Macaca mulatta: one gene and its partners. The main gene of each other region encodes a partner of the protein of the gene in region 2 in a complex. Links are inferred from orthologs where the notes say so. Each region holds a gene or a part of one and is shown on either strand. Other genes may lie near its edges. The genes, in order: RHO, GRK1 and RCVRN.

The links.
Region 1: the proteins of GRK1 (region 2) and RHO are in contact, whole or in part, in a cryo-EM structure (PDB 7MT8), measured with the Bos taurus proteins. The link is inferred for Macaca mulatta from reciprocal best matches to the Homo sapiens genes GRK1 and RHO. Residues at the interface, in NP_776598.1 of Bos taurus: Leu6, Glu7, Thr8, Val9, Val10, Ser13, Ala14, Ile16, Ala17, Ala18, Arg19, Gly20, Asp23, Ala24, Glu184, Asp185, Trp186, Phe187, Leu188, Asp189, Phe190, Val192, Arg195, Glu200, Gln205, Met206, Lys207, Lys221, Arg222, Thr256; in NP_001014890.1 of Bos taurus: Lys66, Lys67, Arg69, Thr70, Arg135, Val137, Val138, Val139, Lys141, Ser144, Asn145, Phe146, Arg147, Phe148, Glu150, His152, Leu226, Thr229, Val230, Ala233, Gln236, Gln237, Glu239, Thr243, Ala246, Val250, Met257, Ile305, Tyr306, Met309.
Region 3: the proteins of GRK1 (region 2) and RCVRN are in contact, whole or in part, in an NMR structure (PDB 2I94), measured with the Bos taurus proteins. The link is inferred for Macaca mulatta from reciprocal best matches to the Homo sapiens genes GRK1 and RCVRN. Residues at the interface, in NP_776598.1 of Bos taurus: Phe3, Gly4, Leu6, Glu7, Val9, Val10, Ala11, Asn12, Ser13, Ala14, Phe15, Ile16; in NP_776590.1 of Bos taurus: Lys22, Trp31, Ser34, Phe35, Glu38, Cys39, Phe49, Ile52, Tyr53, Lys55, Phe56, Phe57, Tyr86, Leu90, Thr93, Ser94, Phe188, Glu189.

What each region holds. Positions count from the first base shown.
Region 1 is NC_133407.1:154,392,437-154,402,437, forward strand, and holds the end of RHO (rhodopsin), read right to left. Parts: intron 8,766-10,001; coding exon 8,597-8,765; intron 7,426-8,596; coding exon 7,260-7,425; intron 7,144-7,259; coding exon 6,904-7,143; intron 6,079-6,903; coding exon 5,968-6,078; 3' UTR 4,317-5,967; downstream 1-4,316. UniProt on the Homo sapiens protein: Photoreceptor required for image-forming vision at low light intensity. Required for photoreceptor cell viability after birth.
Region 2 is NC_133422.1:107,886,858-107,896,959, reverse strand, and holds the start of GRK1 (rhodopsin kinase GRK1), read right to left. Parts: upstream 6,413-10,102; coding exon 5,714-6,412; intron 3,757-5,713; coding exon 3,629-3,756; intron 1,831-3,628; coding exon 1,673-1,830; intron 195-1,672; coding exon 111-194; intron 1-110. UniProt on the Homo sapiens protein: Retina-specific kinase involved in the signal turnoff via phosphorylation of rhodopsin (RHO), the G protein- coupled receptor that initiates the phototransduction cascade.
Region 3 is NC_133421.1:11,411,796-11,421,786, forward strand, and holds the start of RCVRN (recoverin), read right to left. Parts: upstream 5,566-9,991; 5' UTR 5,455-5,565; coding exon 5,074-5,454; intron 1-5,073. UniProt on the Homo sapiens protein: Acts as a calcium sensor and regulates phototransduction of cone and rod photoreceptor cells. Modulates light sensitivity of cone photoreceptor in dark and dim conditions.

The DNA of each region.
Region 1 (10,001 bases), on a different chromosome or scaffold from region 2:
GTGATGCCTGGAGGTCCCAGTGCTGGAGGCCTGAAAACCATCTTCCGGGACTATGCTGGAGCAGGAGCCGAAGCAAAGAGGCAAATGGAAGTTGGCACAAATGGGGGCAGCAATTTTGATCACATTTATGGGACACTTCCAAGAACTGAGAAGTAGAGCAACACTCAGCGATAGAAACATTCCCACGAGCTTCATCCGAAACCCTGCTCCCGGCTGTGCCAGGATCGAGTTTCGCATTCGAAGGGAAGAAGCTCTAAAATGTGCTGCATATTCTAAAAATTCCTCTAGAGGATTGCCTTTTTACAGGGAAGTGGTAATTCTGAGCATCAGACGGGCCGCTTGGTGAGCTTCTGTGATTTTTTTATTGAGGCCTATATGAAATGTAACTTCTGCTGAGAACTAGTTATGAAACACTGAATGGGGTCGGCCTACATGTGAACTTTCCTACAGTTCTGAAGATCGCAGTTGTGAAGATCACAGTTCTGAACTTTTGGAAGCAGTTTTAGGGTGTCTGCTTTGTGTAACTCCAGCCCCTGTAACATCAGGACATTTGTGACTTTTCTTTCCTGACTTTGAGTCAGTAAATGCGTAAAGGGCGGGGTAGAATAACTGCCACATTCGACGTCCATATAAATATTTTATAGTCACTATTTTATTTATGCATGGAGAAGCTGAAGTTCAGAGAGGACCTGCACTTCCATCTTCCTGAGCTCCTGGGCTGCAGCCTGGAAGCCCTTTGTTTTAGTGAAGAAATAGGCCATAGGCCAGACATGGTGGCTCATGTCTGTAATCTCAGCACTTTGGGAGGTTGAGGCAGGCGGATTACTCGAGCTCAGGAGTTCGAGATCAGCCTGGGCAACATGGCAAAACCCTGTCTCTACTAAAAATACAAAAAATTAGCCGGGCGTGGCAGTGCACTCTTGTAATCCCAGCTATTCGGGAGGCTGAGGGAGGAGAATCGCTTGAACCCAGGAGGTGGAGGTTGTAGTGAGCTGACATCCCGGCACTGCACTCCAGCCTGGGCAATAGACTGTGTCTCAAAAAAGAAAAGAAAGAAAGGAAGAGAAGAAAAGCAAAGGAAGAAAGGAAGGAAGGAAGGAAGGAAGGAAGGAAGGAAGGAAGGAAGGAAAATAAATTGGCTATAACTCCAAAATCACAAGTGACTTAAACAAGAAACCATGAAACTCTTCCCTCCTGAAACTCTTGAAGTATAAGTTGGCCAGGGCTGTTAAGACAGCATGGGGGAACCATGGTGAGACACACCAGAGAACGCTGCCATTCTCTGTCCTCAGATTCTGTCTCGTGATCTAATATGGGTGCAGAAGCTCCAGTCATCATGACTACCTTCCAGCCAGCAGGAAGAAAAGACAAGAGGAAAAGGAGGGCACTTCCATTCTCCAAAATGCACAACCCAGAGACTACACACATCATTTCTGAGTACCCTACAGTGACTGGACCTTAATGTCCTGCCACCACAGTGCAAAAGAAGCTGAAAGATACTGTGTTGTGTTGAGCAACCAGGTGCCCAGCTAGAACCTAGTATGATATTATTAACAGAAGGAAAGGGAATGAATATCGGGGCAGTTAGCACTTGCTTCCCCGCTTTTGCGAGACCCCCCTCTCTGTGTTAATCTCCTTACATGTCCATTTCCTACCACACAAGGGGCTGCCTCCTTTGAACTTAGTTCATGTCTCTGGGAAGGGAATTCACATTTATTGAATGTCTACTGTGCACAGCACCCTTTATACAAATACTCTCATTAGACCCTGTAGACAATTCTACCCAGTGGGATAATTCTCTCCTGTATAGCTGAGGGGCCTGAGTCTTGGAGCAATTCAGGGACTTGCCCAAACCAAGTACAGTGGCTCATGCCTGTAGTCACAGCACTTTGAGAGGCCAAGGCAGGAAGATCCTTTGAGGTCGGAAGTTCAAGGCCAGCCAGGGCAACATAGGGAGACTCCATCTCTACAAAAAATAAAAAATAAGTTGGGTGTGGTGTTGTGTGCCTGTGGTCCCAGTTACTTGAGAGGCTGAGACAGGAGGATTGCTTGAGACTGGGAGGTCAAGGCTACAGTGAGCTATGATGGCACCACTGTACTCTAGTCTGGGTGACAAAGCGAGACCCCATTTCAAAAAAGAAAAAAAAGAAAGAAAGAAAGAAAGAGAAAGAGAGAAAGAAAGAGAAAGAAAGAAGAAAGAGGAAGGAGGAAGGAAGAAGGAAGGAAGGAAAGAAGAAGGAAAGAAAAAGAAAGAAAGGAAGGAAGGAAGAAAGAGAAAGAAAGAAATAAAAGAAAGAAAGAAAGAAAAGAAAGAAAAGAAAAGAGGACTTGCCCTGAAGCTACATAGTTGAGAGGGGCACCCACTGTCTCCTTAGGGGGCATGCACTGTCTCCTTAGGGGGCACCTCAGGCTTTCAGGGGGGCATGTCTCCCTTGGCGTGAGAGAGCTCTGTGGCCATCTGAGTCCCCAGTGCATTCTGGCATGGGGTCAGCTTGCTCAGGTTTGATTGAATGGAGCTGCCATTGTACCTAAGAGGCTGTACCTCTTAGGTATCATTACAATGATAGAGATAGTCACATTGTACCTAAGAGGCTGTACCTCTTAGGTTGTACCTCCCGCTGGCTGCCTGGAGATGAAGTGTGGACAAACTTACTGCAGCTTAGGGCAGCAGCTCCTTCTCTTTATGTATGCAAGTGCCACTAAGCAACTGTCAAGTCATTTGTAAATTAAGGAGGTGGAGGCTTTCCTGTCTATCAGGACAAACGAGAGAATGTTCTGGTGTTAGAGTAAAATTTTCCTCTGGACATGAGGTTGGGGCAAATGTACCATTTCTCAGAAAAAGTGGACTGGGCTGGGGGTTGGGGTGGGGAGCTGGGATGGGCTCCCTGCAAGTCAGGACAGCTAAGATGCCACTGTCCCACCCACTGCCACCCTGGCCCAACACAGCATCCAAAACAAAGGGTGCCAAAACCTTTGGGACCACCCATAGGAATCTTCTCCCTCATGTCCTTGAGATGAGGAGACAGTGAGGCCTGGTCCAGCCATGTGCCCAGAAAATACCAACTTAGAGTCCATTCCCTCTGGGTTGATGCAGGCTCTGCTCACCCAGCCTCCTGCCCTCCTACTTCAGGTAACAGCACCTGGGCTTTCCTTTGTGAAACCTACCTCTCCCCATTCAGCCTGCTTGGGCTGCAGGGTGAGCATGTGACCTAGGTCTGGCCAATCAGAGGATGAATCCCCATTCCAGTCATGGTGATGCAGTTAGACCTGTGTATGCCTAGTGTTCCATTATTGGAACGCTAAGCATGTGTGAGTTATTTATATCTTACTGTTCAAGGTCATTGCCAAGGTCTGATTGCAAAAATCCAAAAAATTGCAACCTCAGGCATAAATGAGCCACATATGATCAGGTGACCTAGGCCTGGCCAATCACAGAATTAATCACCATCTCAGGCATGGTGATATGCTGTACCTGAAGCCCCGGGCTTTTTGGTCATGTGGAGCCAGCAATGTGTGCCTTTTGCTTCAGCCTAAATGAGCTGGATTTCCTGTCACTTGCAACCAAAAGTATCCTGACTGATATTACCTAGTGAGTCAGAGTAAAGAGGGCCAATGATAGAGATCCCAGCGCAATGTGCCCCAGCCCCACCAAGGCACCGAGGATCTGCTATCTCATGCTCCTGCCCTCCTTCCTCACCTTGGAGGAGGGGGTGACTCTCGGGAGCTACAGCTCCATCCTGTTCCCCTTTGGGACAGGGTCTATAGTGAGGCCAGCTCTGAACTGAGGCCCAGTATCGCCAAAGTCTCTCATCTGCTGCATGCTAGGCAGTAGGCTGGCCACTTAAAGTCCACAATCGCATCTAATCCCCTTAGGATCAGGTGTTTGTTTTTTGTTGTTGTTGTTTGTTTGTTTCGTTTTGTTTTGTTTTGTTTGGAGATGGACTCTCCCTCTGTTGCCCAGGCTGGAGTGCAGTGGCGTGATCTCGGTTCACTGCAACCTCTCCCTCCCGGGTTCAAGCGATTCTCCTGCCTCAGCCCCCTAAGTAGCTGGGATTACAGGCGCCTGCCACCATGCCCAGCAATTTTTGTATTTTTAGTAGAGATGGGGCTTCACCATATTGGTCAGGCTGGTCTCAAACCCCTGACCTCCTGATCTGCCCGCCTTGGCCTCCCAAGGTGCTGGGATTACAGGTGTGAGCCACTGTGCCCAGCCAAGGTCAGTTTTAAGATTCTCTTTTGCAGATAAGGAAGCTCAGAGAGGTGACAAAACTTGTTTGCAGTTTTATGGGTCACCTGTGACTCTATGACCCCAAAGTTGGGGTTTTTCTCATTCCCAGGGCTGCTTCCTCCACCTCTAGCCCCAGGGGACTCTGTGCTGCTTGGCTCTGCCCATTGCTCAATCCAGCCATCCCAGGGTCAGGGATCAGGTGGAAGCTGGCAGTTTCAATCTATCCTGTGGATAAAGAGTTTGAAAGCAACAAAACCCACCACCGTTAATACCAACATAGGAGCTGAGCTTTCAATGGCCCAATTTGCCTTAGTCTCCAGGCAGAGCTGGGTAAAGCTAGAGCTTCTGGCTTTGCCTATATGGAGAGGCGGGAGCAGTTACTGAGGCAGCTCAATTCTGACACCTCAGAGATGTGGCCAGCTTTCTGGAGCAGACTCTCCAGAATGGAGAATCGACTAGCAGCTGCTGAAGATGGGCTTGTCTGGCAAGGGAAACTGGAAACGGGGGCCCATGAACATCCCCAGGGAAGGTGGGCCCAGTGGAATTTCCCACTCTTTGTTTCTAAGCTCTTTGAGATAAGGATGACATCAGGGACTCAGCTGTTCATTAAATGTGGGCCGGTGAGCATATCTTCCAGAGGCTCCATGCTGTAGATGCTGGGGCCCAGGTGCTAGGGCAAAAGAGCAGGTAACTTCCAGAGGCTGAGAGAAAGGCGTGTCTCTCCATAAGCCACACTGGGAAGGGGAGGCACGGGGTCTGGGGCCTCACAGTAGGGGTGATACCCCAGGCCCAATCTCACCCTCACTGAGAACTTGGCCTTCATCGCCCCACTCCCCCAATGTTGTTTTTTCAGGTGTGATGACTGCATTCTGCATTCCTGTGACTGTCCTTGTCTGCAGCCCAGCCCCAGCCCTGGTCTGGCCTTGACGCCTAGCTAATTTTTAAAAACCTGCCCCGAGGCTGGGTGAAACCCCATCATCCGAATGCCCAGTCTCAGAATGTTCACAATCAGGAGGTGATAATCATAATAATTAACTAGTTACATTAATTGATGTTATTCACAACATGAACTAGAATCTGTACAGCTCTTGCTATTTACAAGGTGCTGAAACACACACATAGACACACACACACACACACACACACACACACACCTCTTTTGGTCCTCTCAGTAGCTGCGTGTCGGCAGGACCAGGAATCTGGGATTTCCATTTTATAGGGGAAGAAAGTGAGGCCCAGGGAGGGAAAAACAACTGCTCCTTATCATTAGCCAAGTATGAGTTGCTGCTGCTAAGAGGGTCTGAGAGGATAGATATGTTCTCCCTTCGCTTTCATTCCTCCATTCCTTCCTGCATCCATCCAGCATTTATTAAGCACCTACTGTGTGCCCCATTCTGTGCTAGACACTTATCCCTAAGCTGGGACACTTTTCCAGAAAGCAAGAATCCTCATGTTCCTGAAAGATGAGCTGGGAGGAGGAGGGGCACAGATCCCACTGGCCTTGGGGAACCTGGGACTCCAGATCAGTAGGTGTTGGTGGATGTCCCTTCTCAGGCTGTCCCGGGTGAGTGAGGAGCCTCATTTTTCTCTCATTAATTATTTCTTTAAAAAAAAATGAAGGAGCCTATGTGACTTCGTTCATTCTGCACAGGCGCTGCTCCTGGTGGGATGGCTGTGGCTGGGGGAGGGTGTGGGGGACGGGAGACGCCTACAGTCGGCCACAGCGTCCTAGGCAGGTCTTAGGCTGGGGCCACCTGGCTAGTCTCCGTCTTGGACACGGTGGCAGAGGCCTCATCGTCACCCAGCGGGTTCTTGCCGCAGCAGATGGTGGTGAGCATGCAGTTCCGGAACTGGAAGGCAAGAGGCTTGAGTCAGGGCCAGGGCTGCCCACAGTGTGCTTGGAACTGGCACGTTAGTGAGGTTTGCCCCAACCTTTTCCCTGCTTCTGCCCCTCACAGTTCCAGCGCCCCGTCCACTCAAATCTGGCTTCCTGGAGGAAACTTGCTAAGCAGACGCTCCTCACCCCTAGAGATGCCAGGGACCCAGCACGAGGGGGCTGTGTCGCCCATGACATTTCATGGTGCCCTCTGTGTGCCAAGGGTGTTCTGTAAATTATCTCCTGTAATCTGAGAGTTGGGTGTTTTGCCCTTTCTATGGATGAGGAAACCAAAGCACAGAGAGGGGAATTGACTTGCATGGGGTCACATAGTTAGAAAATGGCAGAGCTGACTTCAGAGACTGTTTACCCCAACTTCTGAGTTCCTTGGAGAGGAACCTTTACCCCTTTACCCCTTTACCCCTCAGAATAAGACTTTTTAGCTCCTTATTCAGCTTTATGGAGACTGGCCCATCCATTCCCCTCTTGGGACCTTCTGACTTTGACATTGGGCTTCCAGAACTATCTGGACTAGAGCTTCTCCCACCTCAGTGAGCATCTGAGCCACCTGTGGAGAGCTTGTTGGAAATGTAGGTTCCTAGGCCCTCCCTGAGATTCAGCAGATCTGGGTGGGGCCAGGAATCTGCATTTCTCACACACTCCCCATTGAGACTGCTGACCCAAGACTGCTGCCAGTAGCCCTGATGGAGCCCCCTCCCCTGCCCTGGGACGCAGTTTGTCCTTGGCAGGCAGTGCCTGTGGTCTGGGACACTGGGGCCCTCCCACCCGCAGTAGGCACCTGCTTGTTCATCATGATATAGATGACAGGGTTGTAGATGGAGGCGCTCTTGGCAAAGAACGCTGGGATGGTCATGAAGATGGGACCGAAGTTGGAGCCCTGGTGGGTGAAGATGTAGAATGCCACGCTGGCATAGGGCACCCAGCAGATCAGGAAAGCGATGACCATGATGATGACCATGCGAGTGACCTCCTTCTCTGCCTTCTGTGTGGTGGCCGACTCCTGCTGCTGGGCAGCGGCCTGCAAGACAAGGGGCCCGGGTCCAGACCATGGCTCCTCCAGGGAGCAGGAGCCGCAGATACATGCTGGGGGCTGGACTGTCAGAGCCGTGAGGCTGGCCACTCCCCGGCCCATACCTCCTTGACGGTGAAGACGAGCTGCCCGTAGCAGAAGAAGATGACAATCATGGGGATGGTGAAGTGGACCACGAACATGTAGATAACAAAGGACTCGTTGTTGACCTCTGGCTTGAGCGTGTAGTAGTCAATTCCGCACGAGCACTGCAAGCCCTCGGGGATGTATCTGAGGACGGGCAGGTAGGGAGAACCCGCCTGTGAGGGACTTGGCCAAGGCGCCTGCCGAGCGCTGGCCCTTTCTGGGGCTTCACATTCCCTTCCTGGAAAAGGGGATCATAAGCGTCTGCATGGCTGGGTGACAGGATGGAATATGGATCAGATGGGGATGCAGACGCACCTTGTGGAATCAGTGTCGCTTCACTGGTGGCTGCGGTACCAGATGATACCACTCAGCCTCTCCCGGCATGCCCAGCCCCAGCATCCACTGCCCTCTGAGCCTAGGGTTATGCCAGGCAGAGGTTGGTGAGGAGGAGGGGAGGCTCTGTATTTGAGGCAGTTTGTATAAACTGAGGTTTTCCTAGCCCCAGGGCGAGAGTATTTTCCAGGTCAAAGATGGACACACAGGGTATCTAAGGGATCTTTGTGCAGCTTCTGGAAACAAGAGGTTTCCAGGGCACATTGTTAGGATGTGGCAGTGGTTCCTGATATTGGTGACAGTTGACTGGCCTCAGGAAACCCAGAGCGTCCAGAGGCTGTGCTTCCGGAGGATGGAACCAGATTGGAGAAGATGGGGAAAAAGTCCAGCGGGGGGACTCAAATTCAGCAAGGGGTAAGAAATGGACCCTAGCAAGACTGAGGAGGAAAAGGAAGTGAGAGTGGGAATTTTCTGGAGACAGAGGGACATGAGGCCTCAGGGGACCAGAGTCACCGGTCCTATTGTCCAAACCACTGTCCCCACTGTGTCTCATCTCAGCCCCATTTGGAGACAATCGCCTAGAGGCTGAATGGGACCCAGTTCCCAAGGGCCACAATATGGCCACCAGCACTAGGAAGGTGTGGCCTCCCCTGCTGCTGAGGCCCAAGGTTAGAGGGGGCTGCCCCCAGGGTACTAGACCAAAGAGGATTGGAATTTGCGCCTGGCTTAGTTGAGGATTAGGGGCACAGCCAAGGTGAAGGGTTGGGATGTCTTGGATTCTCTTTTACATAGAGCTCAGGAGATGGGACCAGCGCTTTTAGCAACATTAGAGTCTATTTCTTCTGCCCTACACCCCTACCCTGGGTGGGCATTTGGGCCAGGAGACATACAAGGCCAGTGCCTGGAACCAGACACTACTGGGTTTGAGTCCTGACTGGAGGACCCTACAAAGAGCCTCTTCCCTTCTGCTCAACGCCATTACCTGGACCAGCCGAAGAGGGGGGGTGCGGCGCAGGCCAGCGCCATGACCCAGGTGAAGGCAACGCCCATGATGGCATGGTTCTCCCCGAAGCGGAAGTTGCTCATGGGCTTACACACCACCACGTACCGTTCGATGGCCAGGACCACCAAGGACCACAGGGCGATTTCACCTGCAAGGCAGTCAGCAGGCTGTCAGCAGACCCCACTGCCTGTCTAAGGAGGGTGCACTCCCCCTAGATAGGAAGAGGGTAGCTAGGAAGGCAACCAGGAGTGGGAGAGGGACTTGAGGAGGCCTTGGGGAAGAAGAGAGCTTGGCACTGGGAGGAGTGGGAAGGGGCAGAGGGACCACATGCTGAGGAGGGCTGGGCAAAGAAGCTCCAGGGAATGGGGGAAGTTATTTGCTTAGTGCTCTGGGTCCATGAGGGACACGAATCAGATCAGGGGGTCACGATTGGACTGAGAACCCGGTAGGGAGTTGTGGGGTTTTTTGTTTTTAACAGAAGAATGCATCCTAATGTGGGGCAGAGTTCTTTGTTGGGCAGGAATGCAGAGGTGGCGGAAACCCAGAATTGGCAGTCCTTCATCCCTCTCTCTTCTCGGGAGATGAAACAACATGGGCAAGTGTGGCCCTCTCCTAGGAGCCATGAAGCAATGGGCAATGCTTTGCCCAGAGGAAGAAGAAGGAAATGATGAAATTGAGACATCTGCCCTGCTCACCACCCCATGAAGTTCCACAGGGAGAGTGGCCATATAGTTAATCAGCCAAACTGGGACATTCCTAACAGTGAAAGGGACAATAATTGTAAACTGGGACTGACCCTGCAGAGAACAACCATCCGTATGTGGCACACCACCTTCTGGCCAGAACTGGGTGATCTGTGATTATTTGATGTAACAAATACCCAACAATGCCAGAGATTCCCTGAGAATGGGACCGAGGAGGCAACCTGGACATGGGGGAGAGAGGGCAAGGCTGGCAGGGTGATGCTTGTGACTGGTGGTAAGCTCTCCTCGTCACCCAGCTTTGCAGTGGCTGCCGCTAACATCTCCTCCATCTCAGCGGAGATATTCCTGGATCACAGCCAGGAGACCTAGGCTGTTGTTGCTGCCTGGCCACATCCCTAAATAAGTCTATTCCCTTCTCCCTGCCTCAGTTTTCCCCTCTGTTAAGTGGGATCTGTTATCCCTGCAGCACCCCCATCTGTTTTCCTGTTAAATGCAAGACATTATTCTAAAGCAAAAAGCAGCTGCTTCAGAGGGGCTGCATGCAGTTCTCAACACCAGGAGCCTTGGAGCGCGGCATGGAGGCTAGAGGGGCACCCGGGGACGGGGGGCTGGGAGGGGAGGCAGAGGATGCCAAAGGGGACCGAGCCCATTACCCAGCACAGGGAAGACTCAATGACTGG
Region 2 (10,102 bases):
CACACACATATATACACAAACTCACACGTACGTGCATGTGCACACAGACACACATGTACACAGAGATGCACACATGCACAGAGCCTCCCCAGCTGTGCTCAGACCCTTACCTGGGGTCCCTGCATAGCCCTTGGTCTTGCTCTGCCCATCCAGCAGCTCCACAGCCAGCCCAAGGTCAGAGATCCGGACATTGCCTGAGAGGCAGACACAGTGGAGTCACCCCTGGCTGCACAGGTACCAGTGAGCCCAGAGCCACCTTCACACAAACGCACACACACAACACACACTACACCACACACACCACACAGATCACACCACAGACACCACACACACACACACCACAAACACCACACACCACACAGATCACAACACACACCATGGACACCACACACACACAGATCACACCACACACACACTACACACCACACACACTACACAGATCACACCACACACCCACACCATACCACACAGACACACCACTACTACACTATACATACCATACCACACGCAGACCACATAGACCATACCACACATACCACACCACACACACATATCACAGACACACACCACACACAGACATACCAGGCAGCCATGAGGTCCCAGAGCCCAGAAGCCTCCCCTCCCTAGCCAGACTCACATGCACACACCCCACCACCACACCACAAACACATACACACACACCCCACACACACACCCCATGACCACACCACAAACATACACACACACCAAACAGCCATAAGCACCACCCAGTGCCCATGATCCTCCCCTCCCCAGCCAAACTCACAGACACACCACACACAACCCACATGGTCTCAGACACACCACACTCACTGCACACTCACATACCACACACACCACATTCCACAGACCACACACACAGCACACACCAACAACCAAAGACTACATACACACCTCACACACACGTGCCACACACAATACCACACATACCACACACAATACCAGACATACCACATACCACATCATACAGATACCACACACACACACGCCACACACAATACCACACATACCACGTACCACACCAGATATCTCGCACCACACATACACATACCAAGTGACCACGAGGCCCCAGCACCCCAGACTTACACCACACACACCAGACATACCACACAATCACACACCACACATACACACCATATGCCACACACATACCTCACACACAACACACACCCCACAAACCACATACACGTACACAGCACACACCATGCACATGACAGCGGCTCCCTGGCTGACGGTGAAGGGCGCAGGGTGTAGGGAAGAGGGCCGGTCGTGTTGCAGCTAGGCGTGGGTGTTGCCCACCGGGATCCTCCCATCCCAGCCCCCCACACTCTCTTGGGCCCTGGTGCGTGTCTCGCACTTGCCTGACCTGCCAGCGTCGGGAGCCTAAACCCTTGTGTTTATTTCTGAGAAGAATCCCTGTGTGATGCCTCATTCAGGCAGAAGGAAGGTGGGGACTGGGCCTAGCAGACTCACCATTCCCAGCTAGTTCTGCACCGCAGACCCCTGCACTCACTCCCGTGACTCCTGGTGCCCAATGACACCCCCGCTGTCCACGCAGCTGTCAACCCTCGTGAGGTTGTGCAGAGACCTCCAGGGAAGCTGCGCCCCGCCGTCCTCGGAGCCCCCATCCCTCACCGCCGCGGGCGCCGCCTACCGTCGTTGTCCAGCAGCACGTTCTCAGGCTTGAGGTCGCGGTAGACGATCCGCCGCTGGTGCAGGTGCTCCAGGCCGCAGATGATCTGCGCCGTGTAGAAGACGGCACGCGGCTCCGGGAAGCCGGGATTCTCCTCATTCACGTTGTAGATGTGGTACCTGGGGGCAGACACGCAGGAGCCATGTGCCCCGGGTTTAATGGGGAGTAAAATCATGGAAAGACAGAGTGGGGACCTCAGAACCAGCCAGCGTTCTGGTCGTTTTGAGGCCTGGCCCCCCAGCGTCCCTGCAGAGGAGACCCCGAGGCCATGGTGGCTGGCGGCGTTAGCAGCTCAGGGACCCCGAACCCCAACGGCTAACGGGGAGAAAGTGCCGTCCACGTGTGTCTCCTGTCCCCATGCTTCCTGGCGTGGGCTGCAGGTGCTGGAAAACAGCCCAGACCGTCTCAGGAAGAGGCCAGGCCGAGGCGGGATGGAGCTCCGCAGGCCCCGAGTTCATCAGACTCGTGAAGGATTTGCAGCAAGGTGTTTCTTCTCAGCCTCTTTCCTCCCCCATAAAACATCATTTCTTATGTTTTCCGTGGACAGGTTTTGCAAGAAGCAAAACCTAACAAATAAAATAAACTATTTAAACTAGGTGGCACCAGGAGTATAGTCGCAGGAAACAGGAGAGGAGGCCCTGGAGCCAGGTGGATCATGAGGCGGCCGGAGCCACCAGGCCCTCCCTGGGCACCCCTGTGACTAAGCTTCCCAGCGCCCCCTCCCCTCTGCCTGGGCACCCCCGTGTGTGTGCTTCCCGGCGCCCCCTCCCCTCCGCCTGGGCACCTGGCATGGTGACTTAGTCTGGACTCACATTCCTCATCTGAAAAATGGGCCACCAGCCTCACCTGAAGGAGTTTCCTTGGAAATTAAAAGCAGGTGAGAATGGGGCATGGTGCTGCCAACCACAGCCATGGCCCCTGCCCATCCCCAACCTTAGGGGTATCAGACACTGTTAATCTTCCAACAATCTTTCTTTTTTTTTTGAGACGGAGTCTTGCTCTGTTGCCCAGGCTGGAATTCAGTGGCGGGATCTCGGCTCACTGTAAGCTCCACCTCCCGGGTTCACGCCATTCTCCTGCCTCAGCCTCCCGAGTAGCTGGGACTACAGGCGCCCGCCACCTCGCCCAGCTAGTTTTTTTGTATTTTTTTAGTAGAGACGGGGTTTCACCGCATTAGCTAGGATGGTCTCGATCTCCTGACCTTGTGATCCACCTGTCTTGGCCTCCCAAAGTGCTGGGATTACAGGCTTGAGCCACCGCGCCTGGCCAAACAATCTTTCAACTTAGATATTATCTCTTCCCATTTTATAGACCAGGAAACAGAACCAAGCAATGGCTAAGCGGCCCAGGTACCAAGCGAGCCTGTGATCTGATCTCCCACACGGGCCTGGCGCCTGCCTCGGTGATGGATCCGGGGCCAGGACTTTGTGGAGGCAGCACCACCTCCTCTCTGCCAGAAAGCAGCAAGGCCATGGCCCCAGCTGGCCTGATCTTGTCTCCAGCTCCAGCGTCAGCCCCAGGAATGGGCGGGCGCTGGTGAAGTTCATCTTCATTTACTCTCCTGGTGCAAGGCCCTCAGCCCTGCAGAGGCCCCTGCACTGCATCATGCGTCCCCCACAGCACCACGTGCCCCCCACACCCACACCAGGGCCACACACAAGGAGGTGCCCTGGCTGTCAGGTTGGGCGCCTCCCAGGCTCCTGCACCAATGTGGGTCCAGGGTGTATTGTTTCAGGAACCGGCGCCTACCGACAGCGAGAAGGGGACGGTGATGGGTGCAAGGCTTTCCCTCGAGGGCAGGCCTCGGGCCACCATGGCTCTACACACAGGAAGCAGCCCCATCGGGCCCCCCGCCGCCGGAAACCCTGACCCAGTGGGACAGCAGGGTCCCCTGGCGCCCTCTGGACCAGCCCTTACCTGATGTCGCCTCCGTTCATGATGGTCATCACCAGACAGAGGTCAGCTTTGGTTTCAAACGCATAGGCCAGAGACACAATGAACCTGCTGTGCACTTTCATCAGAATCTTCTTCTCCACCATAGCACCCTGAAAAGTGAGACGATGAGTATGTGATGGCTTTGAATAGGAAAGGGACCAGTGCATTGTAGAGACCGTGTGCACACGGCCACGCCCACTGCACACACAGCCACTAGTCGCAAACACGCTTTAAATGCGCCTTTCACGGAGCAATTGCAAATGACTTCAAAACATGTCTGTACCCCCATTTCAGAAAACCAGACGTGTGAATTCCTTCACACAGGGGACTTCTGGTCTTCCGGGCCAGCCTCTGGCAAGGGGAGGCTCAAGCCCCACGGCTGAGCAACATGGGTGAGGACCCCGCCAGCCCTGCCTGCCCAGCAATCCTGCAGCCACAGCCCTCCCTGCTGTCTAGGCCCCTGTGGGCTGGGATCACAGACCAGCACCTCCCAAACCACCTCACCACTCTGCTTCGTTTTGTCTTTATTTTAAAACCTCACAATGCTCCACTGAATGAGTTTGTAAGTGTCTGGATAAGGACAGCACACCCCTCTTTGAAGAGGGAATTCCTGACGTCGGAGGCCCCTTTCTGTGCATTCACACTGGGGGAGGTGTTCAGTTGATGTCAGTATGGAGTTCAGTTAGGTGATGGAAGTCAGGAGAAGAGGCTGACTGTTGGGTTAAATTTACAGTTAGATGTGAATGGCATGGTGTGGGAATTAGATGTCAAGAAAGCTAATTTTAAAAAATTACTGCTACAGGCCGGGCGCGGTGGCTCAAGCCTGTAATCCCAGCACTTTCGGAGGCCGAGACGGGCGGATCACGAGGTCAGGAGTTCAAGACCATCCGGGCTAACACGGTGAAACCCCGTCTCTACTAAAAATACAAAAAACTAGCCGGGCGAGGTGGCGGGCGCCTGTAGTCCCAGCTACTCGGGAGGCTGAGGCAGGAGAATGGCGTAAACCCGGGAGGCGGAGCTTGCAGTGAGCTGAGATCCGGCCACTGTACTCCAGCCTGGGTGACAGAGCGAGACTCCGTCTCAAAAAAAAAAAAAAAAATTACTGCTACAACCACGTGGCATAGTTACCCACCCCGAGTTCCACGGCAAGAACACACGGATATTCCAGGGCCTCTGCCCAGCGCCATGACCACCTGGTATTTCACCTTCACTAAGGGTTGAGGCCCTGCAGAGCCAGGGTGCACAGCGGCTGCTGCTTAACCCTAAGAGTTTCCTGTGCCCTCAACACAGCTGCGCGGTGGGAGAGGGGCCAGGAGCTGCGTGGAGCCGAAGTGCAGGGGGCTGGCTCGGGAGATCACGTCCACACCCGGTGCAGCCGCTGCCTCTCACCCTTAAGACCTGTAAGCAGCTTCTGCTGATCCTGCCCCAGATGCACAGTCTGACGCCAGTGGGCAGAGCGGATGAAACAGCGTGGCCTGCGTGCCCGTCGCTCACTCCCACCCCCAAGAACAGCGCAGTCAGGGGAATAGTTCCTGCATCCGGTGTCACGCCAGGCTTCTCCTCACAGAAAGTGTCATCGGAGTGAGGCTGCCTCCGTCCTGCCTCACTTCCTCCTGCATTCACTGCCATCAGAGGAGCCAGGTCCCTGGAAAGTCTTCCACGGCCATGGCAAAGAATCCGGAGACCCTGCCCTCTTCAGCCTCCCCTGAGAGGTCCTCTTTCCCCCACACTTGAGGCTAGTCTGTGGTTGGTGAAAAGCTGACGAGCAAAGGTGGCACGTCCCCACCCAAAAATGTGGAGGTCCCTCTCCGAGGAGGGATGTCCCCACCCAAAAATGTGGAGGTCCCTCTCCGAGGAGGGATGTCCCCACCCAAAAATGTGGAGGTCCCTCTCCGAGGAGGGACTTCTGCACATGGACTGGAACTGCCCGTGACTGCACGGCCGCAGGGCGCCCACATGGCAAGGCTGGCGAGGCACCAGCTGTTAAGGGCCACGGAGCCCGACAGCGACTTGGGGGCCCTCTGCACCCTGCTGCCCCATCCCTGTTGGCTGGGCCGCGCTGCTCACCTGGTAGCCCTTCCTCTTCTTCAGTCGCTTCTTGTTCAGCTTCTTGCAGGCATACAGCTTGCCGGTCGCCTTCATCTGGCAGGCCGACACCTCCCCAAAACCCCCTTTCCCCAGCACCCTGAAGTCCAGGAACCAGTCCTCCCCCATGGGCTGGGCTTCCAGCCACTTCCACTGCAGGAACCTCAGGAAGTACAGGCTGCCCAGGTACTCCTGGAAGGGGGCTTGGCCCAGGTGTGCCAGGGTGGCCTGCAGCAGGGGCTGGAAGAGCCCGTCCTGGCTCTCCACGGGCCCCTCCTTAAACTTCACCACCATCCCCTCATCCAGGAAGCTGCAGAAGAGTTTGGCCTGGGGGTCCAGGTACTGGGCCAGGATGGTCTGGGCCTTCTGTGGCTGGAGGTCGTTGTCTGCTGTGTCATAGTCCTCGATGTCTTTCCAGAGCTCCAGGGCTGGCACGTGCTGCTCTGCTGATTGCAGGAACTGCTGAAAGAGCTTCTTGCCGATGGGCTGCTCCAAGCACACGCTCTCAAATTCCAGGCTGAGGCTGTCACGGAGGTACTCACACTTGGACAGCGGGGGCAGCTTGAGCTTGGCCAGGTACTTCTTGTCCCGGGAGGGTTGGGAGCTGCTGCCGTCAAAGCTGCCTCGGGCGGCGATGAAGGCAGAGTTGGCCACCACGGTCTCCAAGGACCCGAAATCCATCCCGGAGCTGGCTTCCTGCCCGCTTCAGGAGTGAGGGCCCATCGGCCGAGGCCAAGCCGGCGGTGCTCACAGCAGAGCAGGCCCGACCGCTGCCCTTGGCCTGTGGCCCGTCCCTGCCCTCGCTGGACGAGGGAGATGCCCTGGCCGTGTTGAGGGTGCCTAGGGACCACTGGGAAGCCCCTGGGAGCCCAGGGCTGACACAGCACCAGGCTAAATCTCAGCTGGGGTCACGGAGGACGCTTAGGAGTGGCGAGAAGGTGCTAGAAAAAGACAATCCCCTGAGCTGCTTGGAATCCGATTAGCTCATTCTGCCCGGCCCTTTCCTCCAAGGGGCCGCCTCGCTTTTCCCGAGACGGACAAATAACTCCCAGGCTTCTGGGGCCCCCGGCTGGAGAGGCACTCAGAGCTCTGTTCTGAACCGCCTCGTCCACCCCCTGGCCTCAGCAGCCAGGCTCAAGCCTGCTCTTTCCTTGGGATGTGGGCCCGACAGGAGAGGGTGGTGCCAGGAGAAACCATAATTTACAAAGGCTGTTTTTCCCTACTATATTTCATTTTTATTTTTAAGAAAATAGCAAGTGAGAAGAAAACCACCTGATAATAGGAATTTAGAGGAAAAAAGCCCACAATGACCAGCTTCCTGGGGGTCTGTAGGTGAGACCACCAGTGCTTACTGAGGGGTCAGTTCCCAATTATTTTTCTTCTTCTCACCTGGGGTTTGCAAGCAAGGCAGGACTGTCAAGAGACAGTTGCTGGTGACACCAGGACCAGGGAGCAGAAGATCCTCGGAGCTACACCAAACCAAGGCTCCACTCAGAGGGCCGTATGTGGAATACAGCTGGGGCACACCTGAGACACACCTGGGGCACAGCTGTGGCACACCTGGGGCACACCTGGGACATACCTAGGACACACCTGGGACAGCTGGGGTACAGCTGGGGCACATCTGGGACACACCTGGGGCACACCTGGGGCACACCTGAGACACACCTAAGGAACACCCAGAATCCACCTGAGACACATGTGGGACACAGCCGTGGCACACCTGGGGCACATCTGGGACATACCTGGAACAGCTGAGACACACCTGGGAACACCTGGTGCACACCCGGAATCCACTTGAGACACACCTGGAACACAGCTGTGGCACACCTGGGGCACATCTGAGACACACCTGGGACAGCTGGGACACACCTGGGACACACCCAGAATCCACCTGAGACACACCCGGGACACATCTGGGGCACACCTGAGATACAGCTGGTGCACATGTAGGATACACCTGGGACTGCTGAGGCACACCTGGGATATGCCTGGGGCACACCTGAGACAGCTGGGGCATACCTAGGATACACCTGGGCTGTACCTGGGGCACACCTGAGACACCTGAAATGCAGCTGAGGAACACTTGGGACCCATCTGAGACACACCTGGGGCACACCTGAGATCCACCTGGGATACAGCTGGTGCACACGTAGGACACACCTGGGACAGCTGGGGCACACCTGGGATATGCCTGGGGCACACCTGAGACAGCTGAGGCACACCTAGGACACACCTGGGGCACAGCTGAGACACACTGGAGATAGTTGGGGCACACCTGGGATGCACCTGGGATGCACCTAAGACACACCTAAGACAGCTGAGGCACACCTGAGACAGTTGAGGCACACCTGGGATACAACTGTGGCATACCTGAGACACACCTGGGACAGCTGGTGCACACCTGGGGCACACCTGGGATGCAGCTGGGGCACACCTGGGATGCAGCTGGGGCACACCTGAGACAGCTGGGGCACACCTGGTATACAACTGTGGCACACCTGAGACACAACTGGGACAGCTAGTGCACACCTGGGGCACACATGGAATGCAACTGGGGCACACCTGGGATGCAACTGGGGCACACCTGGGATGCAGCTGGGGCACACCTGAGACAGCTTGGGCACACTTCAGACACACCTGGGACACACCTGGGGATGGTTACGCAAATAGGAGTGTCAGCTTCATGAGGGCATGGCCCTGCCTTATTCCAGCACACAGTAGGTACTCAATAAATGTTTAGAGAAGAACGAGGAGGAAGTTAGCAGGGGATTGGTTCCAGCTCACACAGGGAGGAAGCAAACGGTCACAGAAAGGAAGAATGCCAGAGTGTGGAGAGGTTGAGAATGTCAGCCCACCCCGTTCCACGTGGGAGAAGAGGCACCTGTGGGAGGGTGCTGGGGCTGCACCTGGCAGGGTCCTCTGTAGCGACCAAGGAGGCTGAAGAGAGGGCCTGCGGACTGAGCTGATGTCCCCACGGCCTCCCGAGGGCTTTGGCAGGTGGATCACGAGTAAATATTTGAGGTGAGTGATATCCCATCGTCCGCCAGGAGCCCTGCACGGGCCCAGCCCTGCCCTTCACAGCGGTGACCTTGGGCCAATCACATTAACTCCTTCCTGCCTGCTCACTCAGTGGGGCAACTATGGTGCTTTGTGAAGTGAAGCCGTCTCTGCTGATGTCTCCCGGCCTATCCTAGGCCATGCCTCAAACAGCTACACACACGAATCGCCCGGAGACCTTGCTGGAATAAAGATTCTGCTTTAGTGGCTGGGCGGTCCAAGACTGTGCACCTGTAACAAGCTCACAGGTGGTGCTGATGCTGCAGAGATGCGGGGTCTGAGGAGGACGGCTTCCTGTTGGACTGGGGGCTGTTCCACCTGCACTCATGTTGGGAAGCGTTCGGTGAAATAAAGTTAAATATGTTAAATAAACAAAGTTAAAAATATGTTAAACATGCCCATCACAGAGCTTATTCAGTGATTTCAGGGTGAACATGGTTCTCAAAGAGAAGTAAAGTATGTCGTTCCCCAAATTCATTTGGCCCTGGAAATCCCTTTTTAAACTCTTTATTCTGTGATAGTTGTGGATTTACATGCAGTGTTAAGAAACAATCCAGAGAGATCCTGTGTATCCTTAACTCCGTCTCCTGTAATGATGACTCTTGCCAAGTAGCGAATATATTGACATCCATACAGTTGAGACAAAGGCCGCCTCCATCCACGGGACCCTCCTGTGCCACTCGCAGATGCACCCACGTTCCTCCAGCCCGCCCTCCTCAACGCCCGGCAACCACGACTTCTCCAAGAACGTTATATGAATGGAGTCAGACACTACGTAGCTTTTCAGGATCTGCGTTTCTCACTCTGCACCGTTCTCCAGGTGTCAGCCATGCCCTCCTGCTCGTCTCTGAGTTGTGCTCCACAGAGGGTGTCACGGTCTGTTTCGCCGTTCACCGGTTGAAGGACCCCTGGGTCATCTCCTGTGTTTAGCTATAAAGCTGCTACAAACATCTGTGTAGGCCTTTGTGTGAATATGTTTCTATTTCTCTGGGGTCAATGCCCAAAAGTGTCGTTGCTGGTTGCTGGGGCACACAGTAATTGCACGTTTAGTTTCGAAGAAACTGGCAAGCTGTTTTCTGGAGTGGCCATGCCATTTTACATTCCCACCAGCCATGGGGGAGCAGCTCCTTCCTCAGGATCCTCCCCAGAGTTTAGCGCTGCCACGGTCTTTTATCTTGGCTCTCCTGGTAGGTGTGGGGTATTCCCTTACGGTTGTAACTTACATTTCCCTAATGGTGGTCGAACACCTTTCCATGTGTGGATTGCCACCTGTGTGTGCTTTTGGGTGACATGTCTCTTCACATCTTTTGA
Region 3 (9,991 bases), on a different chromosome or scaffold from region 2:
CCAAGATCACGCCATTGCACTCCAGCCTGGGTGACAAGAGCAAAACTCTATCTAAAAAAAAAAAAAAAAAAAGAAAGAAAGAAAGAAAATGGGCAAAGGACCCAAACAGACATTTCTCCAAAGAAGACGTACAAGTGGCCAGCAAGTATCAAGAAACCCATCACTGATCACCAGGGAAACATAAATCAATACCACAATGAGATATCACCTCACGCCTGTTAGAATGGCTGTAATAAAAAAAGACAAGAAATAACAGGCGTTGGCAAGGGTGTGGTGACAAGGGAACCCTGGTCCACTGTTGCTGGGAATGTAAAATGGTACAAATATTATGGAAGACACATCAGGGACTTTGGGTCACCTCCATCACAATGTCCCTCTCTCAGTGCCTGACCAGCCCGTGGGAGCAGACAGCAGTTATAATACAGATGTACAGGCCCCCACCTGATCTACTGAATCAAAATTCCTGGGCGTAGGACCTGGGCATCTGTATTTTTGAGGCCCTCATAAGGGACAGGGAATTCAGGGAAGAGACAAAGAAGCCTTTCGCTTCTTATTTTGTACCTTTCTGTACTGTGATTTTCTAACTATGTAAACATATTAACTTCACTTATTTAAAAAAATGAAAATAAGAAAGAAAAAGCTTCCTGATGCAAATATGACGGCAGTCCTGAGGTTGGAGTTTGGGAATCACTACCTCAGACCCTACTGCCTACAGGTTTTAGAAGAGTAAACCTCTTCCTCTGGATTTATACTGTACCTCAGTTGCTCAGTAAGACTGACTTATGGCAATAACGGCTAACATTTGTTGAGTACTTAATAGGTGTCACTCTCTTTTCTTCTTTTTTTTTCTTTTTTTCTTTTTCCAGACGGGGTCTTGCTCTGTCACCCAGGCTAGAGTGCAGTGGTGCAATCATGGCTCACTGCAGCCTCGACATGCTGGGCTCAAGCAATCCTCCCACTTCGGCCTCCTGAGTAGCTGGGACTATGGTGCGCACCACCATGCTCAGCAAGTTCCTTTGAATTTTTTGTAGAGACAGGGTCTCACTATGTTGCCCAGACTGGTCTCAAACTCCTGAGCTCAAGCAATCCTTTCACCTTGGCCCCACAAAGTGCTGGGATTACTGCCTGGCCTAGGTGTCACTTTTCTAAACATTTTTTACACCTAGTCTTCACAATAACCGTATGAAGAAGGTATGATTGGCCCCATTTTATGGATGAAAAAACTGAGACAACTAACTTGCTGGAAGTCACCCAGCTAGAAGGAGAAGAGTGGAGATTTGAATCCAGGCATTTTGATTCTAGAATTGGTATCCTTGTGTTACGCTATAGGCCACTCACCTCCTTATCACTGGAAGGTCTTGGAGAGCGTTGGGCAAGGCTGGGGGGGAGGGAGAGGCATCAGCAAGAACTTTTCAGAGGTCTTCCCATGGTACAGCAAGACCCTCATTTAACCTTCTGCTCAAGGATGGATTCAGCGAAAGGCTTAGCTTTGGGCTCAAGGATCCCATCCTTCTCACCTCCCTCCCCTCTAATAAAGCAGTTGGTTATGCAATGTAGGGAAAGCATGAAGTGCCCCCAGACCTGTGAGATCAGGGAAAGGGACAAGGGGGCTCCATGCACCCTTCCAGCTTCAAGTTTCTAGGATTCCACTGGCTCAGGAACACCAGCGCCAGCTGGGTCCTGAAGGGACACCCAAGGTTGTAGGTCCTTGGATGCTGAGGGCAGGCAGGTATGTTGGGTGGCAGTTGGGAGGTTACTGGCTCTGGCCAGAGCCTTCTGCCTCCCTGGAGACACTTGTGAGCAGGGCAGGCAGGGGCAATAATGGCTGTGAAATTATCCTGGAGGGAAGGTCGATAGCTTTGAGAAGTTCCCCTTCAGCCTCCTAGTGCTGGAAAAAGGAGCAAGGAGACCAAAGCCAGCAGCCCAGGGCAGCGGCCTCACTGGCAGCACTCAGAGCTCTGAGCTGGACGCAAGTGTAGGTGGTTCCTACACTCCTATCCATCTGTGCAGGGCCTTGGGTACCATGTACAGGTGTGCCAGCCAGAAGCTGGGAGTGACTGCCTGCCCACCCCACTTCCAACACAGAGGGACAGACCTTCAGGGCCTCGGGAGAGGCTGCAAAAATAATCAAATCCTCACCCTGGGCCCAGGAAGGTAAAATGGTTTTCCCACAGCAACACCGCTAGTTGGAGTCAGAGCTGGGACTAGAACGCTTCACTTGTGACTCCCCCAGTCAGTGCTCTGCCCATGAACTTGTAATCTGGTGAACCGTAGAGCCTTCTGCCACCTTGTACAGCCCCAGCCATTGATGGCCTCTCCCTTCCTCCCTTTCCTTTCTTCTTTCTTCCTTTCTCTCCTCCTTTCCTGCCCCTTGCTTCCCCCTCCTTCCTTCCTGACTTCCACCTTCTCTCTCTCCCTCCCTCATTTCCCCCTCCTCCCTTTCCTCCTACTTTTCTTCCAGGAGTATCCATTTGTAGGCTTCTGCTGGGCCCCACATTGTTTATGTGGCTCTGAAGACTTAGTCCCTGTCCCAGGCAAGAGACCCCACAGCCAATTCGAGGGAGCTTTCTCTGCAGGCTGTGCCAAGATAACAATGAGGGAGACACACGCCTGCCGGAACGGGAGGCCTGAGCTGAGCACTGAGGATAAGCCCATGGACCACAAGCTGCACGCTTTGCTGTTTTATTTATGGTTTCTGCTAATAAGGGTGGAAAATTTTTGTGCATTTGTAATCATGCAAATGAAGGCATGATTACAAATGCATAACATCTGAACAACAGTCTCTACTAACAGGAATGGAATTAGAATAATAAAGCAAGTGGCAGGGGGCAGGGGGATTGAAAAAGAATAAGTAAAAAAAAAAAAAAATCAAATGAAGGAAATTAGAACTGGTATAATAGGAGAGAAATGGAAACAACCTAATGTCCAAAAACATAGGAATGTTCAATAATTTCCACATTTCCATAAGCCAGAATTCCAAGCAGCTATTAAAAGTGTTCTGGAAGAGATTGGGTGCAGAAGTTCACTCCTGTAATCCCAGCACTTTGGGAGGCCGAGGTGGGCAGATCACCTGAGGTCAGGAGTTTGAGACCAGCCTGGCCAGCATGGCGAAACCCTGTCTCTACTAAAATACGAAAATTAGCCGGGCGTGGTGGCGGGTGCCTGTAATCCCAGCTACTTGCGAGGGTGAGGCAGGAGAACTGCTCAAACCTGGGAGGTAGAAGTGGCAGTGAGCTGAGATCACGCCACTGCCCTCCAGCCTGGGCGACAAGAGTGAAACTGTCTGAACAACAACAAAAAACTGTTTTGGAAGAATATGTAATGATATGGAAAGCACTCATGATAAAAGAGTAACTGAAAAATGTATGATAAAAATCGTATGTGAGTATGTCATAGCTTTAACATTGTTTAAAAATTATATACGTAAAACACTGAAAAGGTATATACCGATATACTAAGAAAAGTTTTCCTTGGATGAGGCAATTTTTAATCTCGTTTGCCTAGGCTTCTAAATTTCATGAGTTACTTATACATTAGATGAAACATTTTCAAGACACCTAGAGGTTGGTGGAAAAGTAATTGTGGTTTTTGCCATTACTTTCACAACAAAGGATCTGACACGAGGACAGTATGGACGGGGGAGAAGGTGTGTTGGGAACCATGTGGAAGCGTGTATGCCTCACAGGGAACCTGTCAGGAGCTGGGGAGCCACGCCGTGCATGGCAAGTGCAGGCTCAAGGGTGGTACAGGCGATCTGCCCCAAGCTGGGGAGAACATGAGAACTAGAACTCAGAGTTCATGTCCCCAACTTTGACCTCTTTCTACTTTATATTTGAAGCATAGTGTGTTTAGAATGAATAGCGATTCAAGTTGAATGTGTACTGCCGAAAATTTCAAAGGGTATTTTAATAAAGGAAGGAAGAAACAAAGGATGGAGAGAAAGAAAAAAATGTAAATATAGTCATGTGTCGCTCAGAGACAGGAATACATTCCAAGAAACACATCTTTAGGCAATTTCCATGTGGGAACGTCATAGACAGTCCTCGCACAAACCCAGATGGTACAGCCTACTACATCCCTGGGCTCCATGGTCCAGCCTTTTGCTCCTATGCTACAAACCTGTGCAGCATGTGACTGTCCTGAGTGCCGCAGGCAGTTGTCATATGATGGTAAGTATCTGCACATCTAAACATACCTAAACATGTGGTAAAAATACAGTATAAAGATAAAAAATGGGCCAGGCACTGTGGCTCATGCCTGTAAATCCCAGCACTTTGGGAGGCTGAGGTGGGTGGATTGCCTGAGGTCAGGAGTTCGAGACCAGCCTGACCAACATGGTGAAACCCCATCTCTACTAAAAATACAAAAATTAGCCGGGCGTGGTGGTGTGCGCCTGTAATCCCAGCTACTTGGGAGGCTGAGGCAGGAGAATTGCTTGAACCCGGGAGGCAGAGGTTGCAGTGAGCCAAGATTGCGCCATTGCACTCCAGCTCTGGGTCACGGAGTGAGACTATCTCAAACAACAACAACAACAACAACAAAACACAAAGATACAAAATGGTAGAGCTGTCTAGGGCACTTACCATGAGTGGAGCTTGCAGGATTGGGAGTTGCTCTGGGTGAGTCAGTGAGCGAGTAACGAGTGAATGTGAAGAACTAGGACATTACCGTACACTACTGCAGACTTTATAGATACACTTAGACTACACTAAATGCATTTAAAAAATAAAGTAACTGTGCTATGACATCACTAGGCAATAGGAATTTTTCAGCTCCATTACAAGCTTATGGGACCACAGTGGTATATATGGTCCATACATGACCCAAACATCGTGAAGCAAAGCATAACATGGATGTATTAAGAAACATTCAGATTCTGCTTCAGGAAGACAACGAAGCTGTGGGTAAGTGCCCACCTGTCTATCAATATCAGCCTCTTGGAGCACCAGGCTCTCAGAGCCAGTGGCCTGAATCCCCCGCTCCACCCACAGCTCCACTCACTCTGCAGCAAGGGGCCCCCAGCCCCAAGTGACCCCGGCGCCGCCCAGCCAGAAGGGGAGAGGGGAGACTGACCATGACGATCTCCAGCACTTCATTCTTGCTGATGGTCCCGTTACCGTCCACGTCGTAGAGGGAGAAGGCCCACTCCAGCTTCTGGTTGGTCTTGCCCGCGGTGGTCATGTGCAGGGCGATGACGTACTCCTTGAAGTCCAGGGTGCCGTCGAGGTTGGAATCGAAACTGCGGAACACATGCTGGGCGTAGGCCTTGGGGTCGGTGTCGGGGAAGAACTTGGCGTAGATGCTCTGGAACTGCTGCTGGGTGATGCGGCCGCTGGGGCAGTCCTTCAGGAAGGACTGGTACCAGGAGGACAGCTCCTCCTCTGAGAACTTGGTGTTCAGCTGCAGCTCCTCCAGGATCTCCTTGGACAGGGCCCCACTTTTGCTGTTCCCCATGGGTGAGGAAGAGTGGGCAGCGGCTGCGGAGTCGCTGGGTGGGTGGGACGTGCGTGGTCCCCTGGCCGCAGGCTGGCGCTCAGGGCTGGTGTGAGCTGAAGATGGAGAGACTGGTGGCTTAGGAGGATTTGCGACCGGTTCTTCGCAATCCTTGAAGGGAGGAGGGGCCCAGGAGCTTTGTAGAGGTGGTGGGGGGATGCTCCCAGAACCCTACGGAGATTAAAATAAAGAGCCCAGGGCAGGCAGGCAATTCATCTCGGCCTCCTGGGAGGAGACTAGAACAGGACAGGAAGTTGGAACCTTCAGAGCTGGGGCCTCCTGCACCCCCAGCCCCAGCCCTCTAACGGCAGCCACGTTCCCTATTTCTCTTCCTCACTAACTCTGAGCATCTCAGGGCAGGGCTGGCATCTCACATCAAGCCCTAGAATGCAGTGGTTAGGAGCACAGGCTCTGGGGCCAGCATGGGTTCAAGTCCCAGCTTGGCTACTTAACTAGCTGTGTGGCCCCAGGCGTGTTTCTTCACCTCTTTCCACCTGGGACACTCTTCTAACCCTTCACTGCAGTCACGTCTCCGCTTAAATGTCACCTGCTCAGCCAGGCCTATACTGACCCTCTATCTATAATAGCACACCCCCCACCGTCTTCAGCACGCCCCATGTCCCCTCACTGGAATGAAAGCTCTAGGAAGGACAGGATTTTGTCTGTGTTGTTCCCAGATGCATTTCCATTTCCAGAACCTGATAGGCTTGGGCCCCCATTAAGCCTTTCTTGAATAAATGGGCATCATAGCATCTACCACACTGTCATTGTGAGGCTGATGTGAGTCAATATGGGTGACACACTTAGAACCTGGCACACGGCTGGCTAATGCTAAACACTCATTTTGTTATTGCCCATCAGTCACAGGGAGTGAAGGTGAACTGCCTGCAGGGACCAACAGGGGGCAGCCAGGCCTGTGTCACCTAGGGAAGGGGCTGCCAGCAAACGTGGTCACATGGGAACGTGAGTTTTTTTTTTTAATTAGTCAAGAGAAATCCAGAAATCAGAATTTTCGATGCAATTTCCACACTTTTCAACTGTGGCAATTAATTTGCAATTTAAAAAACATGGCTGGGCGCGATGGCTCACGCCTGTATTCCCAGCACTTTGGGAGACCGAGCGGGGTGGATCAGTAGGTCAGGAGTTTGAGACCAGCCTGGCCAACATGGTGAAACCCTGTCTCTACTAAAAATACAAAAAATTAGTGGGGCGTGGTGGCGGGTGCCTGTGATCCCAGCTACTTGGGAGGCTGAGGCAGGAAAATTGCTTGAACCTGGGAGGCAGAGGTTGCAGTGAGCCGAGATCGCACTCTTGCACTCCAGCCTGGGCGACAGTGCAAGACTCCGTCTCAAAAAAACAAAAGAACAACACAACAACAAAAACAAAAACAAAATCATAAAACATGATGTGGGCCAAACAAAATCTATCTGCGGCTCCATGGCAGGCTGCAGGGTGTCCATCTGCAGCGGACTTGGAGTAAGCAGGCAAGAAAACGTGTTTGCTGAGTGAATGGGTAAATAACTGAGTGATCAGAGACAGGGAGCTGTGCCAAGGCGGGCTTCGCGTCCCTGCAGCGCAGCGGGGAGTATCAAGCATGAGGAAGCACCCTAGTGAGGACGCTGCACACCTGGATTCTTGTCACCCAGAGGGAAGGGAGGGTGGGCATGCACTTTCCTTAGCGGCGCGCAGTGCTCGAGGGGACACACTCAGAACCCCAGCCTTGCCACCGTGGATAGAGAGTTCTTTTTTTGCCCTGGGGTACGAAGTATGAAGAATAAACCCCACAGTCTCTAGGCAGGTAAAGTGGTTTTTGTTTTTTTTAGACAGTCTCTCTCTGTTGCCCAGGCTGGAGTACAGTTGCGCAATCTTGGCTTACTGCAACCTCCGCCTCTTGGTTTCAAGCAATTCTCCTGTCTCAGTCGCCTGAGAATCTGGGACTACAGGTGTCTGTCACTAGGCCCAGCTAATTTTTTTTTTTTTTTGTATTTTTAGTAGGATTGAGGTTTCACCATATTGGTCAGGCTGGTCTCGCAAACTCCTGACCTCAGGTGATCCGCCTGCCTTGCATCTCAAAGTGTAAAGTAGGGATTTTAGCCTACTTACTAACAGGCTAGTGGCAGCGGAAGGTAGGTCCCTGCTGCTGGGAGAAAGCCACCTGCCAGGCCCACCTGATATCACTCTGGAAGGAGCGAGAGGTTCGGGCACCGAGGGCAGACTCATCTCTTCCAGCCACTGTGCACACGACAGTTTCCGAGACATCTCAGGAAACCTGCATGCTGGGGTGTGTGTGTGAACTTTCACATTTTTTTCCATCACTCTGTGAGGTTTTTGGTTTTTTGCTTTTTGTTTTGTTTTGTTTTGTTTTTTGAGACAGAGCCTCGTTCTGTTGCCCAGGCTGGAGTGCAGCGGCACAATTTCGGCTCACTGCAACCTCCACCTCGCAGGTTCAAGCAATTCTCCTGCCTCAGTCTCCTGAGTAGCTGGGATTACAGGCACTCACCACCATGCCTGGCTCATTTTTGTATTTTTAGCAGAGATGGGATTTCACCATGTCGGTCAGGCTGGTCTCGATCTCCTGACCTCATGATCTGCCTGCCTCGGCCTCCCAAAGTGCTGGGATTACAGGCGTGAGCCACTGCGCCCAGTGATAATATTACTTCTGAATAGGAGTATCTAGGCTTTCACCATCCTGTAGTATGCATTTATTCTCAAGAGCAGTTAGAAACAGGAGTCACCAGCCTTCAAACAAATGAACGAACCAAGCAAGCCCAAGCCACACCTTGGAATCGCATTCTCATCCAGTGCTTTCTTGCAGCCCTGAGGCAACCCTGGGCATGGAGGGAGAGTGAGGTCAGAAGCCTTGGCCCCTTGCTCTGAGCCACTAGTAGGAGGCGACTAGAAGTGCCTCCTGGATCACACCCCTGTCCACATCAAGCCTGCAGCAGATGAGGCGAGGCCAGTGTTACAGGTGAGACGTGGGGCCTCCCAAAGGCACGTCGCCAGCCTGGGGTCACATGGTTGCTAAATGGCAATGTCAGGAGGAAGGAAAGTCCAGATCTGCCAGGCTCTTCGTTTAGGCTTCCTTTGTCTACATTACAGGAGGCCTGAGCCTAGAGGACAAGTAGGTGAGGATGTGGGGTTGCCATGGCAATGAAAGAGGCCCTGGGCGAGGCAGAAGGCAGCCAGAGCCCTCCAGTCTTTGCTGTCCTCTCCAGGCACAAGGAGGAAGGAGCTGGACCCAGGTCGGAAGCAGCCTGGTACAGTCCACATTCTCCAGGTTGCTGTGCCCAGGAGGGGCCTCAGGGGATCGCAAGCAGCTGTGTTGATGCTCAGAGCAAGGGGTCATGACCTGGAGGTTTGTTTGAAAACCTGCATAAACATCTTCTATCAGAGGGAGAGCTTATGCTCCTTAGCCAAACAAGCTGTTGGACATGATGTATTGTGAGACGATTTGTTAAGTCTGATCTGGGGCCATAAGCTCTCCCAAACCCCAAAGTCTTCTCTAGAGAAGGCTTCATCTCCAGGCAGAGGATCCCAGGTTGCATCTCGCTCTCTTCGCTGCACTGAAAGATGCTTCCCAGAAGCCGGCCCTGTCCCCTCAAGCAGGAGCTCTATCTCGGCTGTTAGCTGGGACCCAGACCCCACCCTTTCCCCATTGCTCGACCTTGCCTTTTATGAGCTGAAGGCCAAGACGACCCTCCTGCCCTCTGGCCTGGAGCCAGCACCTGCAGAGAAGTCTGCATCGAGAGGGAAAAGGGGGTATGGAGGTGGTGGCGGGGGAGACAGAGAATGGGGAAGGACCCTCCTCCCACAGCTGTCCCCATTGCAGAAAATGACAATCCATCCTTTTGATGACTTGGATTGAGGTTCCTGGAGTCATTCTCAGTGTTTCTCTTTCAGTCACAACCCTCTCCAATCTATCAAGAAATTATCTTGACTCTGCCACCTTCAAGGTACAGCCAGAACCAGACCATTCTTCTTGCCTCCCTTGCACCTGCCTCATGCAGGCAGCGTCACCTCTGCCTCCTAATAGCTCTTCCTGCTTCTGCTCTTGTCCCCTTACAGCCCTGCAGTGAGCCCCACAGCCATGAAATCAGGTCATGCACGATGGCTGCCCACTTCTCCCCGTCAAAGCCAAAAGCCTGCAACAGGCAGCACTGGCCCTCATCCCACCATGTCTTGCAGGTGCCCTTTGGTACCCCCAAGAAGGGACGAAAAGGGGCGGGTGCCCTTTGTCTCTCTGCTAAGTCATCAGAGGTAAAATCATCACCAATCCCAAGAGCCTAGGGGGAACACCGAGACGGTCATTCGAAGAATATGGCAGCCCTCCACATTCCTCATCTGCTCTTCCCTCCTCACTCCCTCCACTCCAGCCAGGCGGGCCTCAGATACATGAGCATCTCTTCTGCTTGGAACATTCTCCTCCGGTGACCTTCTAGGGTCCCTCCCAGGTCTCCTTGTCTTTGATCAAATACCACCTTCTCAATGAGGCCACTCA